Linked DNA regions of Mus musculus: region 2 is reported to be linked to region 1. Evidence: microRNA targets listed by miRTarBase, many of them from high-throughput screens and not tested one by one. Region 1 holds a microRNA gene; the other region holds the end of a gene's coding sequence.
What was found. Region 1 holds the annotated microRNA mmu-miR-331-3p (GCCCCUGGGCCUAUCCUAGAA, at 1,780-1,800, shown strand). A microRNA usually pairs through its seed, bases 2 to 8, with sites in the 3' UTR of a target mRNA and lowers its output. Matches are read on the target gene's strand: a 7mer-m8 pairs with bases 2 to 8, a 7mer-A1 pairs with bases 2 to 7 and ends in A, and an 8mer does both.

Region 2: the mRNA of Hectd3 is a reported target of mmu-miR-331-3p. Seed matches in the 3' UTR shown: 7mer-A1 at 5,188-5,194.

The regions. Positions count from the first base shown.
Region 1 is chr10:93,958,462-93,965,582 of GRCm38, reverse strand. Mir331 (microRNA 331) reads left to right here and starts at 1,720; the gene lies at 1,720-1,815. It overlaps Vezt (vezatin, adherens junctions transmembrane protein), which reads left to right. Exons shown (of 12, transcript NM_172538.5): 12 at 1-4,061.
Region 2 is chr4:117,002,355-117,009,475 of GRCm38, reverse strand. It overlaps Hectd3 (HECT domain E3 ubiquitin protein ligase 3), which reads right to left. Exons shown (of 21, transcript NM_175244.4): 17 at 6,837-6,966; 18 at 6,665-6,739; 19 at 6,461-6,542; 20 at 6,286-6,357; 21 at 4,199-6,194. The coding sequence ends at 6,110. Among named protein-coding and RNA genes, the nearest start is that of Hectd3, 11 kb to the right of the region's middle.

The sequences.
Region 1 (7,121 bases):
TTTCCCCAACATCTTGCCTTCTCTAAAGTTGGTTCTATACCTGTAACTCTTTTGCAGTGATTACTGTCATATATACTTTCCATTTGAATTGGAAACCACATGCTGTCCTGAATTTCTTTGGCTCTCTTATTTAAGATAAATGCGTCTTCATTTCCAAGACAAAGTAGATTAAGCCATGGAAAATAAGAAAACAATTATTGAAGATATCTGAGAAGTACTACAATTGTAGAACCTAGGCCACAAAGAATAACATGATTATGAAAGACCATCCACGCTGACAGCATCTTTGCTTTCTTTAATTCAGCTAAAGGAAGTGAAGTATACATTAAAAGTTTCCCATGATTCATCAGTGTTAACTCAGTGGCAGAAGATCCACTGTCATTCAGTAGTTGGCATGCCTAAATTAGCCTTCAGTGTATAAAATAAGCAAGATTACATTTTCCAATAATACTAGACTGTCTAGAAGTGGCTCTCCTAACATCTGCTTAGTTGTACCGTTTATGTGCTGTGCTTTGCTAACCATGGGACTCGCTGTCATCATATACAGAGTGAGTAGTGTGTCAGTCTATTTTATTCTCATGCTTCATGGAACTCACTCTCATTACATTCAGCGTGGATGCTGTATCAGACTTTCATAATCATGCTTCATGTGGCTGCTCTCCAGTTACCCATGTTATGGAAGGGAATTATGATATAATAATTGTAAGAAGAATGGTCCAAACCAGTTCCTTGTATTGACACCATTGTAGAAGAGACAGTGATGGCAGACATGATTGGTGCTTCTCTCTGAGTAAGCTGTTAGAGAAGCACAATTCTACCCAGTGCAATTGCTGTAAACCAAAAAGAAGGAGTTCATACCGGGGTTTACATAGGCAAGATTCAGCAGGAATTAGGAGGAATTAATTTCATACCTATCTTTAAATGTGTGATCAAATCTAGGTGTAGTGGCACATACCTTTAATCCCTGCACTCTGGAAACAGGCAGGCATATCTCTGATTTCAAGGCCAGCCTGGTCCACATAGTGAGTTCCTGACTGGCCAAGGTTTATATATATAGTGATGATTGTGTGATAGATTCTAATGCCCATGGTGTCTTTAAAATGCAGTCCATTAGAATCCACTTTAGTGTGTCAGCAGTGACATTAGTTTTATCCCTGTGTACTGAGATTCACTTAGCACATATGTTGCTCAAGTGGAAATGATGCTTAGGGTGTGTATACTTCTGATTATACAAGCTGAAAAATTGGACTACCTGTAGATAATGCTAAATAGATATTTTTTCTCACTTATTTCTTAAGAGTTTCTTAAAATAGATAGTATTATTTTAGGATTTATAACAGTTTTATAACATGTCCTAAAGACTGACTACATACAAATAAGTTTATTGTTGCAAATCTCTTCTAAAACTAAAGTATGTCCTTTGTAAGTTTGCTCTTTTACAATGACCTAAACAACTTCTTAGCCCGCTTTTCCTTCCAAGTTAAATGACTAAATTGACTCTGATTCTGAGTCCAAGTATGTTCTGCATTTTTCTGTACCTTCTGTTCAAGTCTGTGACTTAAAAGTGCTGAGGCACAGTACTGGTGTGTGACAATATATAGAAGGCTCCAAGAATGTCACTCCTATCCCTTAAAGGTTGGTGTGTGGCCCTGATCCAGCCCTGGAGGCCCACATGGGTGAGAAGCCCAGAAGCCCATGCAAGCTGAAAGCACTCCCAAGGAGTCTGGTTTTGTTTGGGTTTGTTCTAGGTATGGTCCCAGGGATCCCAGATCAAACCAGGCCCCTGGGCCTATCCTAGAACCAACCTAAACCCGTGCATCATTCCTGGAACACCCAGAGGATGAAGACCGAAGATAACTGAGGCTGACTACACATCCTGTACTCACCAAGATTCAGTTCTTATATATGTACCTATTGTTTAGCAAGCCCTGGCTGGTTAATCTGTCTGGAGTCAAAATAACAATATTTGGTAATAACAAAGTCTCCCGAGGCTGATACCCCAGTAGTTTCCTATGGTAGAAATTCTATGTGGTTGTTATTAATTCCCAGTGAGGAGAACTGGTCTTGTGATTTTTATCGTCAGATAAAACTGATTTAAATGTCTATTTTAAAAAGCAGCAATGTAGCCACAAAACCGTTCTCAAAACAGCCTTCTTCCAAACTGGACAAATTGTCTTTTCTTAACTACTTCCAGTGATGTCTAACCAGTCTCTGTCAGCTGTATGCTTTATTGGCACTTTCGGAACGGCAAGCATCTGTCTTCGTCTTCCCACTCTAATGCTGAGTGGCTCTAAGTTCTTGTTTCAGAAATTAGTATGTTTTCCCTGTCACTGGGTCTGCTGCGCAGCAGAGCTCCTTTTAAGGTTTCTGTGGCTCAGGACCATGAGTATGGTGAGGTAGTAGATGGTTAAGCCCGTGGATTTTGCAGCAGTATTGTGCAGAAGAAAATTTTAAGAACTTCAGTTTTCTTCCTGATCTAATAAATATATGTTATGACCTCATAATCTAGCTGGCATTACTAGAGTCAACTGTGTGTTTATTTGTTTTGATTTGGAAGACAAGAATTCTGAAAATGCATGAAGACCCAAACTGAAAAATTATGGTAAGCATTGACAATTTATGCTTTTGATGTTTTGTGCAGACTAATAAACTCTCCATACATAAGGAACTCAAAATCATGCATTCCTACCAATCTTTATCACACTACCAAAATTTACGTCACCCAGTCACAGTTCCAAATGGGCCTGGCGCCTATTGAGGCTCACCCGAAAAACTCAACTATTCTACACCATATTCATCCCATTTCTACCCCAAGTTTATGGGAATTTTTTTTATGCCACAGATTGAGTTTTGTGCTTCTCAGTGTTTTCTTCCTTGGAGTGTGTGCCTCATGAACACACTTACCTAAGAGATCAGCATTGCCTAGAATCCATGTGCACACACCAGGTTGATGTGTAATATGTTTTGTGAGTATTTTGGGGGCATTATACTCATTTACATCATAAATAGAGACCAAAAATAGAAATTATGGACTGTTTAATTAGGTTTGTTTTTTTGAGTCAGGACCTCATACCCTAGGTTGGCTTTGAACTTGCTGTATAGCTAAGGTTGGCCTTGAACTTCTGACCTTCCTGCTTTTACCTCCCAGGTTCTGTTACTGTAAGTGTGTACCACAGACCTGGCTCTGTATTTTTGTTGGTGGTGGTGGTTTTTGTTTTTGGTTTCGAGGCATTATGTAACTAACAATGACCGGCCTGGAACTTGCTGATCTTGAGCTTCTGACAATCCTCCTGCCTCCACCTCTAGAGAGCTGAGATTACAGACATGCGCCACCATTCTTGGCAAGGTTTGGCTCTTGAGTAAGGTTTTAAAGTATACTCAGTGGTAAAGCACTGGCTATGAGGTCTAGCTCTGAGACCCTCCACCTCCAAAGGGCCTTGGGATGGTTACTAATCTTTATATACTAGAACTTTGAACTCTCAATTCCCTACCCTAACTGAAGACTTATGGTTATAAAATCTGGGCCGGAGGGTGCTTTTTTGTTTAATTGCGATAAAGCATCAAAATTTTCACCATTGCCACCATTTTTATGTTCAATTCAGGAAATGCCTGTGCCTTTAATGAAGCGTTTGCAGAACTTTCAATTGTGCAGGTCTTAAAATCTTCTATGATTAAGATAAGAGTTCTCCTTCCTCCCTCTCCTTTCCCACAGCCCCTGGCAGGCACCATTCTGTCTCCTGTTATGACCGCAAGTTCATCTCATTTAGCATGTGACAGAATTTCCTTTTTTAGGGCTGAATAATCTGCACATTTGCTAGATCTTGTGGATCATTCATCGACTGGCGGGCATTGACTGCTTCCCTCTCTTGGTTATTATAAAGGATATTGCTATGGATATGAGCAGGTATCTCCTTTTTAACGTGGTACCTTATTAATCACTTTGCTGTATCGCATTACCTTGGCAACTATTTTAAAGCGTTAGAATTGTAGGCTTGCTTATGCTGTATAAACTGTTCCTCCTAAGCTTAAAGGATCTCTAATAAAATCTCAGATTCCCTGTATACTTGTGTGTGTCCCTTTTTTACCCTCCTGTTTGCAACATGGACTAGTTCCTCAAAGGAAGAAGTCTTTCTCTCTTCCTCTAGTCGATACTTCTCTTCCTTTACAGGATTTCCTAGCACTTGATGCAAGATTTCAGAAGATGCTATTGCCTGGGCAATCCTTTGAATCATTATCCCAATTTTTGCTTGTTAAGCACCTGGTGATAATTTATCAGAGTGAAAAAATAATGGCTTCATTTTAAATTATACAGGTTTTATAGTTGTTACAGTTTTGTTTGCTTGGGGTGTTTTTGGTTGATTGACTGGTTGGGTGGGTGGGTGGTTGGTTGGTTGGTTGGTTGGCTAGATGGTTGATTGATTGGTTGGGTTGTTGGTTGGTTGGTTAGATGTTGGTTGGTTGGTTGGTTGTTGGTTGATTTGTTGGGTGGGTGGTTGGGTGATTGGTCGTTTTATTTTGAGACACTACATCACTGTAACCCAGTTCTGGCATCAAAGCCCCAGCCATCCTCCTACCTCAGCTTTCTAACTTCCAAGAATTATAGGTATACACCACCACAGTGCCTATTTTCACCATTCCCTCTGGATACTGCAGGTTGCATGTTACCCCCTTGACAGAGAGGAAGTTAGTATTCAATGGTTCAGACTTTGTCTTAGGATATCCCTGGGAGCCTCAGAATAGTTCTGTAAATGAAATGCTGGTTAAGGAGAAAGTGGTCTTTCTTGGAACTTTCTAAAAGATAAACTACCTTTCTCCAGAAAATATTTGATCAAAGAAAAAAAGTACCCTAAAAAAGCAAGTTTTGAAACCTGTCTAAGACGTACTGGTTAAAGGTGTGATGTGATGTAGGATTCTGAATTCACTGGGTAGGAAGTACCCATGTGGTAATCATTGTCTTCACAATTTACTTAGCAGATGTGCTGTAAACATTGAAAAATAAAGTTGGTGAAGAGTAATTTTCATCAAATGCACATCTGGAAAAAAATTAATAAAACATTTTCAGAATGTAATCCTAACAATGGCCCTATTGGTTTGAAAGAAAAGCTTTACCCTAAAACTATTAGTGGTCATACATGTAGAACAGCATACATATTTCTAGAATCTGAGTTTGAGGTTTAGAGCTAGGAAAGCAAGCCCAATAGTTGTCTCAGTCACACATTCAAAGTGGTCAACTGATGTGCTAATTAAGTTAAAAGATACCAACATGTGCTTGCTTTAGCTTACAGCTAACCACTAAGACAGTACAGAGCCCTTGCATTTGGAAATCAGTAGATTCAAATTATAAATAAAAAGAGAACTATGCAAATTGTGTAACCATATTGAGTCACTTGTATTTTTAAAGGGGGTCTCATTATTATGCTTTATGACTTAAACTAGACCTCTAAAATTATCTTCTATTCCAAGCAGTTTATCTGGGGCTTTTTCCCCCATGGGAACGTGCCAGAGTGCATACAAGTGCACCATGTAAGTTCAGGAGGCTGTGGAGGTAGAAGGTGTTAGATAACCTAGGTCCTGGAGCCACAAGCAGTTCTGAGCTTCCATGAAGGTGCTGGCGACTGCTTCTGAATCCTCTTCAAGAGCCTTACATGCTTACCCACTGAGCCATCTCTCCAGCCCTGTTATCCTAACTATTAATAAAGAGGTGTAGCTTTTGAGTGTCAAGGCAAGGTTATTATCCCACACTGAGGGGTAAGAGAAGGTGAGTCTTGAGACACAACAAACAACTTGTTTTCTTTCTCAACTTTGGGTTAGGGTTTATTCCTTTTAAGGGAAGCAGGAGAAGACAGTCATTAAAACTCTAAAAACATGTTCTAACACAGACTTTAATGGCTTTAAAAACTAAGTATGCTTTATGTCTTCAAGCACCGAGAGCCGGAAATTCTTAGAAGTGTGTAAACTCCAGAGGAGTGAGTGATCATTTTCCATATCTCTACAGTAATTCTTTCCCTTTAGACTATATGACCTTTTCATCATAAAGAAGTGTTACAATACAAGGTTTCCTCTATGGAAATAGAATTGTCTAGTTTATCATTTCTAAATCAGTAGAGTCTGTTTCCTAGGTCCATCTACATGTTCAATACAGGATGGATGGAGTTCTGTGTGGTACCTGGACCTAAAATACTTTGTCTTTAGCAGTATTCTTTAACACTCAAGCCTGGCTGTAAGCTGGAAAGCTGTGTATCATGCTTAAACTTAGAAAATGAAACTATGACAGAGGGCTAATAATACGTTGTTATTATTATAACCAATAAAAAAGCTATAATGCAGAACATGCATATGAGTAGTCTATAAGATCTAAAACACCAAACATTATCTTTTGTTCTGCAAACCAGGTTGGACTTTAACTCAGAAATACACTGGCCCTGCCTCTACACCTGCCCCTGCCTCTACCTTCTGAGTGCTGGGATTAAAGGTGTGTGAAACAGTATTTCTTAATAGGGCCATAAGGATGATGTTTACCCAGGATTTCTTCTCTCCTTGAACTTAAAATGCTTATATAAAGAAGGGAGGCCAGGTACAGTGGCACATGCCTTTAATCCCAGCACTCAGGCAACAGAAGCAGGAGGATCTCCGAGTTTGAGGCCAGTCTAGTCTACAGAGCTGTGTTCCAGGACAGCCAAAGCTCTTTCACAGAGAAACCCTGTCTAGAAAAACAAAACCAAAAATAGAAAACTGTATCTCAGTGAGTTCCAGGCCAGGCTGGTCTACAAAGAGTTCCAGGGAAAGCAGAGAGCTATATAGTGAGACCCTGTCTTGAAAAATGAAAGGGAGAGGGGTGTGATTGATCCAATGTGTATGCAAGCCTAGAGACTCTACTGCCTAGAGACTAGTAATAAAGGAAGGACAGTGCTGTAGTGTGGTTCCTACGAAAATACCTTGATAGTCATGCAGAGAAATGATAGACTGTGGAAAAAATACAAACCTTCAGATTCTTCAGGACAAAGCTCCCTGCAGATTCACACCAGCCTGACTGGCACTAGAGGGCTTTCTTCCAAGCTCCCTCCACTCCCACCCCTTATCCACAGTCCTCAGTCCTTTCTTCAACCAGTTGCATTAAATTA
Region 2 (7,121 bases), not on the chromosome of region 1:
TACACATACATCCAATTTCACCACATGGAATATTTAAAAGGCATGTACTTGGGGACAAGATGTAATGAAAGTAACATTTAAAATATTTAATTTTTTTTAATTTGGGGGAATCCCATGGAAGAGGGACAGGAAGAATCATAGGAGCCAGAGGGCTCAAGGACATCACAAGAACACGGCCCACAGAACTAAGTATGGCTCATAGGGGCTCCAAAGACTGAAGTGGCCATCATGGACCCTGCATGGCTCTGAGCTGGGTCCTCTGCATCTGTGTCATGGCTGTGCAGCTTGGTGTTCTGTGGGACTAACTCCTAACAGTGGGAGTGGGGCTTCTCTGACTCTTAGAGCCTTTTCCTCCTACTGGGTTGCCTTGTCTAGCCTTGAAATGAGGGTTTGTGCCTAGTCTTGTAACTTGTTATGCTGTGCCCCATTGATATCCCTGGGACACTGGCTTGTTGTTGTTGTTTTGTTTTTTTTGAAGGAAAAAGGAGGAGGATCTAGGGGGAAAAGGAGGTGGGAGGGGAGGGAGTGGGAGGAGAAGAGGGAGGGGAAACTGTGGTCAGGATGTAATACATGAGCGTTTCCAGGACAGCCAGAGCTACATGGAAAAACCATCTCAAACAAAATACCCACATCAATAAAAACTTTCAGTTATATGTGTATGCGTGTTTTGCCTACATGTATGCCTGGTATCCATAGAGGCCAGAAGAGAGCACTGGGTCTCCTGGAACTGGAATTACAAATGATTGTAAGCCATCCTGTGGGTGCTGGGAATTGAACGCAAGTCCTCTGGAAAAGCAGCTGGTGCTCTTAACTGCTGAGCCATCTCTCCAGGCCTCTTCATGTCCCTTTATCACACTGGATAAGGGCTATATTTTATTTGTTCCATTCTTCCCAGGACCCAAGATGTGCTAAGTAAAGTATATTTAATTAGTTGGAATTTTCCTTCAACATCCTATTTGGTGATAGAAAAACTAGACCAAAAGCCCAGGCCACCGTTACCTCTTCTTTTCAAGTTGCCTTCTAAGTTAGTTCATGTTATTCCCCTGTGTGTAGCTTCATGCATATTAGTATATAGCATGCATACAGGAGGCACTTTGTAAATGCAAATTAGAAATGAGGTGTTCGCCGGGGCGTGGTGGTGCATGCCTTTAATCCCAGCCCTCAGGAGGCAGAGGCAGGCGGATTTCTGAGTTCCAGGCCAGCCTGGTCTACAAAGTGAGTTCCAGGACAGCCAGGACTATACAGAGAAACCCTGTCTCAAAAAAGAAAAGAAAAAAAAAGAAAGAAAGAAAAAAAAAGAAATGAGTTGTTCTGCCAGGTGTGGTGGTGCACTTCTTTAATCCCAGCACTCAGGAGGCAGAGACAGATGGATCTCTGTGAGTTCAAGACCAACCTGGTCAACAGAGCAAGTTCCAGGACAGCCAGGGATGTTACACAAAGAAATCCTGTCTTCAGAGAGTTGAGGGCTCCTGTGGGTCCCGCTTGGGGTTTAATAATAAAGACAAGGAGGCTCAGCTACCTATCTAGACTCAAGCCCACCTCCCTGCCACTGTCCCTCTCTCCATGTGGCTGTGGCTCTCTCTGCTCCACCTCCCTGCCCTGCTCCAGTTCTGCTAAATCCCCCTCCCCAGCATCAGCAGCCAGCATACAAAAAGCCCTATTAGTATGGTGGGAGAGGTATCACAGCTTAGTCACTGTGAACCAATCAGCAGCAGGACGACACTTGACCATCTCTTCCGCTGCCCGCCCTTAGGCTGGTCTGAGGGCTACTGTGAGCCCCCCAGCAGGCAGCTTACTTTTTAACATGATTCTCTCTGAGAATCTTCTTTTGGGGCAGGTGAGGAAACAACAAAAACCTGGTGTTGTCTGCACAGCAATGACCAATTGAGAATGCAGGGACACTCCTTCATAGCCAGTCGATAGGATACATGTGGGGTAGGTTACCCCCACGTGTTTGTGTTTGTCGTGTACTCACACACATACTGCATATGTGTGGGATGGGGTAGGCTCAGAAGGCAATCCTCTGCAATGTGAGACACAAAAGAAACCTTTCAAAAGTTGGGTCTGGGCTCACAGATATTCTTCCCACAGTCTGCTAGAGAACTCTCTTTGGGAATTTGCTGGCCACCTCATAATATTCCATTTGGCCGTGGGCTTGTCAGTGTGGTGAGGAATTGTTATTTTAAGAGCACTGAGTGAAAGAAAGAAATGAGAAAAGAAACTGCTTTGGCCACTTACTGCAGGAACTACAGCACTTCCAACTTAGCTGTTGCACATCAGCCTGGTGACTGCCCAAGTGGGGACTGGTAAGTCAGAGAGAGCGGCAGCTGCTGCTTCATTTACTATAAAACGCTTGGCAGGAACTCCAGTAACTAGGACTCCTTCAAACACAAAGAATTCCCACCATTGGCTTTGAAGGACAGTGGAGACATTGGTATTCTAAGCTGATGGGCCAGATTTTTTTTTTTTTTCTCGAGACAGGGTTTCTCTGTGTAGCCCTGGCTGTCCTGGAACTCACTCTGTACACCAGGCTGGCCTCAAACTCAGAAATCCGCCTGCCTCTGCCTCCCAAGTGCTGGGATCAAAGGTGTGCGCCACCACGCCCGGCTGGGCCAGATTTTAAAGAAGTAATTTGATTAATTTGGTGATTTCGCACTTTTATCCCAAACCACGTTTCAGACAGTTGATTTTTCCCCTTTTTTAAGATTGGAAAATATGATTTTGAGGTCATATTTTACTCATTCATCAAGTATTTACTCAGTGCCTATAGCTGATGCCTGCTTGGAATGACTCCCACTTCAGTCTCCTTCCCTTGGACAGCTTTAGGCTCTTGGGATCTATCTGAACAAGGCTTGGACCCAGCCTCTGTAGAGCTGACATTCTAGCAGGCCTAGCAGCCTAAATTATAAAGAAGTTTAAATGTTGGATGGTGGTTGATAAGTTATTTCTCCACCAGTGAAAATGAGCCAGTTCAAACAGATTAATATAAAGGCAGGTTTATTGGGAAGCTGCACTTGGGTGGGCAAATTCACTGGCCCCAAGGAAGCAGGCCAGGGAAGTCATCTTGGGGAGGGAGACAGAGGGGAGGGGGCAGAGAGAGAAAGGAGAAAGGGAGAAGAGAGAAGAAATCAAAATGTCTGGATTATATATAGAAGAGACTCTGGGGGAAGGGCAGCCCAGCCCCGGAGCTGGAAAGTTCAGGGTTAGGAGTAGGGTGTGCCAGTTAGGCACTGAGGGATGCTGGGAGAACCTGGAGGCCTGGTCTGCTTTGGATGTAAAATATGCACCTCAGCTGTTTTGTTCTAGAGTCTGAACCCCTCTAGTGGTGGCGCACGCCTTTAATCCCAGCACTCAGGAGGCAAAGGCAGGAGGATCTCAGAGTTCGAGGCCAGCCTAGTCTACAGAATGAGTTCCAAGACAGCCAGGGTTACACAGAGAAACCCTGTCTTCTATGATAAGCTTCTTTGTCTCCTAGGAATAAACCAACGAGGAATGAGATAATTAAAAGAGAGGGCATTTGGGGGGTGTGGCTCAGTGGTAGTGTGTAGTACACACAAGGTAAGGGAGAGGACAAACTGGCCAAGGCAAGGAAAGGGCAGCAGAGAAAAACATGAGAAATGAAGTTGAGCACACTCAGGTTTGAGAAAACAGCTGATCACAGGAGTGCTGACTGCATGTCACCGACCACACATCTGTAGTCATAGCAACGGAGACTGATCTTACCTCCATTACTGAGGAAAGCAAGTGCCATCCACAGGTTGCCCCTGAGCAAGCAGTGGCAGAAAACCCTTCACATGAAAGGGTTCCTTAGCATTTTGGTGGCAGATATAGTACTGCTGCAAGTTTGTGGCCAGCCTGGGCTACATAAGGAGTTTTAGGCCAGGACAGCTAAGATTACAAGCAAGACCATGTCTCAAAACAAAACCAAAGTGAGGACTGTAAGTGTCTCAGAGATGAGTCATTTGATGGGTCATGTAAAGAATAAAATGTTTCCGGGCTTATTAAAGAGCAAACTGGCTCAGCAGTTAAGAGCAGTTATAGCTCTTCCAGAGAACCTGGGTTTAGTTCCTAGTACCTACATCAAGTGGCTCACAAATGCCTGTAATTTCAGCTCCATGGGATCCAATGCCTTTTTCCAGTCTCCTTGAGTGCCTACAGTCACGCACACTCCCACCCCATAGACATCCATATATATACGTGATTTTAAAAATAAAATTTTAATAGAGAATAAAATATTTCAGTGGATCCCCTTAGAAGTATAATTCATCACCAAGAAGACACTTGCTCTACACTGCTACTTAATGAGAAAGATGTAGCAAGCTTCTGTGGGGAGTGTGTGCTCTGGAGCAAACACCGACTTAGCCTTGGTGCTTTGCAGCTGGTGCCTGACATCTGTACTCCACACTTCATCTCTAAATGAATAAGTAAATGCAAAGCAGCCTGAAAAATATGGTGTAAAAGAGTTATTAAGGGCATGTGTGGGGGCATAGAGACAAACTGCACCCCACAGCTTCTGCAGGGAAGGCCCTTCCCAGACACTATGGAAGCACTCCTTCCCCAACAGAGCCAGGGGAGCTTTCTGAGAAGCAGAGTTTGGTGGGTGTGTGTGCAGGTGCTGGGGCTCCCTGGGAGGGAGGGTGTTCATGTTTGTCTCCTGTGGGTCCCCCAAAGCACATGGGCGGATGGGGCTGCCCCAGGAGGCTCAGTGTGTGGGAAAGATAGGTCTGGGCGTGCACACAGCCATGTGAAGAGGCTTTCTCAATGGCACCGTGAGCTGAAGACGACACATTAGGAAAGATTTTTAGGGCTCAGTCTGCTTTGATGGGTAACTGACTGTTTACACTGTACCAGGACACCAAGATGGCGTCTAGTGCATTGAGCTTCAGGGTGGAAGTACTTGGGGTAAGACAGGGCTAGAGTCTCTGGACCTTAGATATGTGGCATTTGGGGGCAGACAGGTGCTCCCAAGTGTATCAGGATCCGGGTGCTCATCAGCTACCCCAGCTTCACCCTCCATGTGCCGTCATTCTGCTCACTTGCTGCTGGAGGTGAGCTTCCAGACTCTGAATCCCACAATCATCTCAAAAGCCCAGCCTTCTGTCCTCTGGTCTGAGCTCTCATTCCCAGGCTGTGCTACAGATGCCCCACTGTGTCACTGTGAAGCCCACCTCTCCCATCAGGCGCACATCCCCTGCTATCAGTAGGGTGGCAGCCCCGGAGCTCCTTCTAGGACACAGCGATTTTCTAGGAGTGCCATGAGTTTAGCAGGGATCCCAAAAGCACATTCTAAAAAAATGAATTTCTCCATTTATTCAATTTCCCCAATGTAAGACGTCCTACAGGAGTGCCATGGAGGCTCTTGAGGGTAATGGAAGGGTGTGCACCACCCTTAGAGGAAGTTTAACGTCTAGGCCTTATTTTAGAGTGTGGAAACAGCAACCACTGAAATTTCAGAGAGGACAGAAGGTCCCTCAGCTGTGAACTCTTGGGGGTGAAGGAGCAATGGAGTTGGGCTGGATATGATCCAGAAGACAGTAGTTTGGCTGCTGGTAAAGCCTGGGTATTGAGCGGATGTCCATGCCAAGCCTCTGGAAGAACAAAGCTCACACACCTCTGCTATGGAAAGAAGAAGGCTAGTATGCAAGGGATGGGTCTCAACTGGGGCTTCTTTCTTAGGGACCCGTGACCAAGGAGGATGACCTTACTCTGTCATTGGCCCCTTGCTCAAAGTACCATTCTACCAGTTTTTAAACATTTTGAGCCATGGCTGAAGCTAGAAAAAAAGAGGAATGGGGGAAACCAAAACATAGTCCATTGTTTGGGGAGCTAGATTGCCCCCTTCAAGTAGCTCAGGCCTGGCAGCGTGTGCTGGGCTTGTGGACGATTCCCTCTCACCAAGGCTAAATACCTAGGGAAGCAAGCCCCAGCACAGTAGGGTTCGTGGGTCTGTGGGGACTGGAGCGTCTGTGTCAATTCACGCCTCCCACTGCGACCAGACCATACTCAGGTACAGGGCCCACTGTGCTGACATTTCTGAACCCATCACCTCTGTTGAGACCCAAACCGGGCTGGTGTGGGTGAGGGCAGCGTACACGCTTAGGGCACGGCCTCACTCCTCCCAGGGACTCATGTCCGTGTCGATGGCCACACAGTTGTACGCGGCGTAGCGGAGCTTCTCCTCGCATACCTTGGCACTACAGAGGGAGGAAGGTGGTCTGTCCAGCATCTCTGCTGCTCCCAGGGTGCCCTTCCCTGCCAACCACCCTCCCACCTCGGGAGACTCACCTGGCATAGTGTGGGAGGAAGAGCGTGCTGGAGCAGGTAGAAGACTCAGGCAGGGCGTCTGTGGTCTCATAGCTGCAAGGTGGGAAGGGCAAAGGATTATGAGTTGTGGAGTGACGCGTATGCGTGCATGTGTGTGTGGGGGGCACCTTCTGCCCCTCTCTGTACTCATACTCACCCCAGTTTGTCTGGGTAAATGTAGATCCGAGCAGGGAGGCGGCTGCGGCCGGTGACAAAGCGCAGGAAACGGCTCCGGTCCTCTGGGTGGAGAAGAAAATTAAGGCTTGCACTGATGAAGGAAGCTCTATAAATTCCCGCCCGCCTCTTCAATCCACAAGCCACGTCCCAAGGCAAGGCAAGCAGCACTCTGCCCTCTACTGACCATTGGTGAAATTGTTCAGAGCCTCCCAAAAGTACTGCACGCGTGTGTCAGATGGTTCGAAGTCCTCAAACCGAGCTGGAGGGGCCAAGGCAGGAGTTCATGCTTAGCTCTCACTGGGCTAGTCCTTAAGCCCCGCCCCTTCGGCTTCACTGCCCTATCGCCTAGAACTCACTGAGCTTGCGCAGAGCATCCACAGTGACCTCTGGGTCCCCACACACCTTCTTTTCCAACTCTTGCCAGGTCAGCAAGTCCAGCACAGCCTGTGGTACCACCTTCAGCAGACCTGCCTGCATGGCTGCCACCTAGGGAGGAGGAAGAAGCCTGCCTGGGAAAGTTGGACACTACTTTCAGCGTACACTGGGGCATCTCTGTACTCACTGACCAGCAGGAATGGGGTGCAGTCATGGAAGCCAGCATCAGGGTGGATATTGGTCGCCTACCAGTGGGCTCTGGCGTC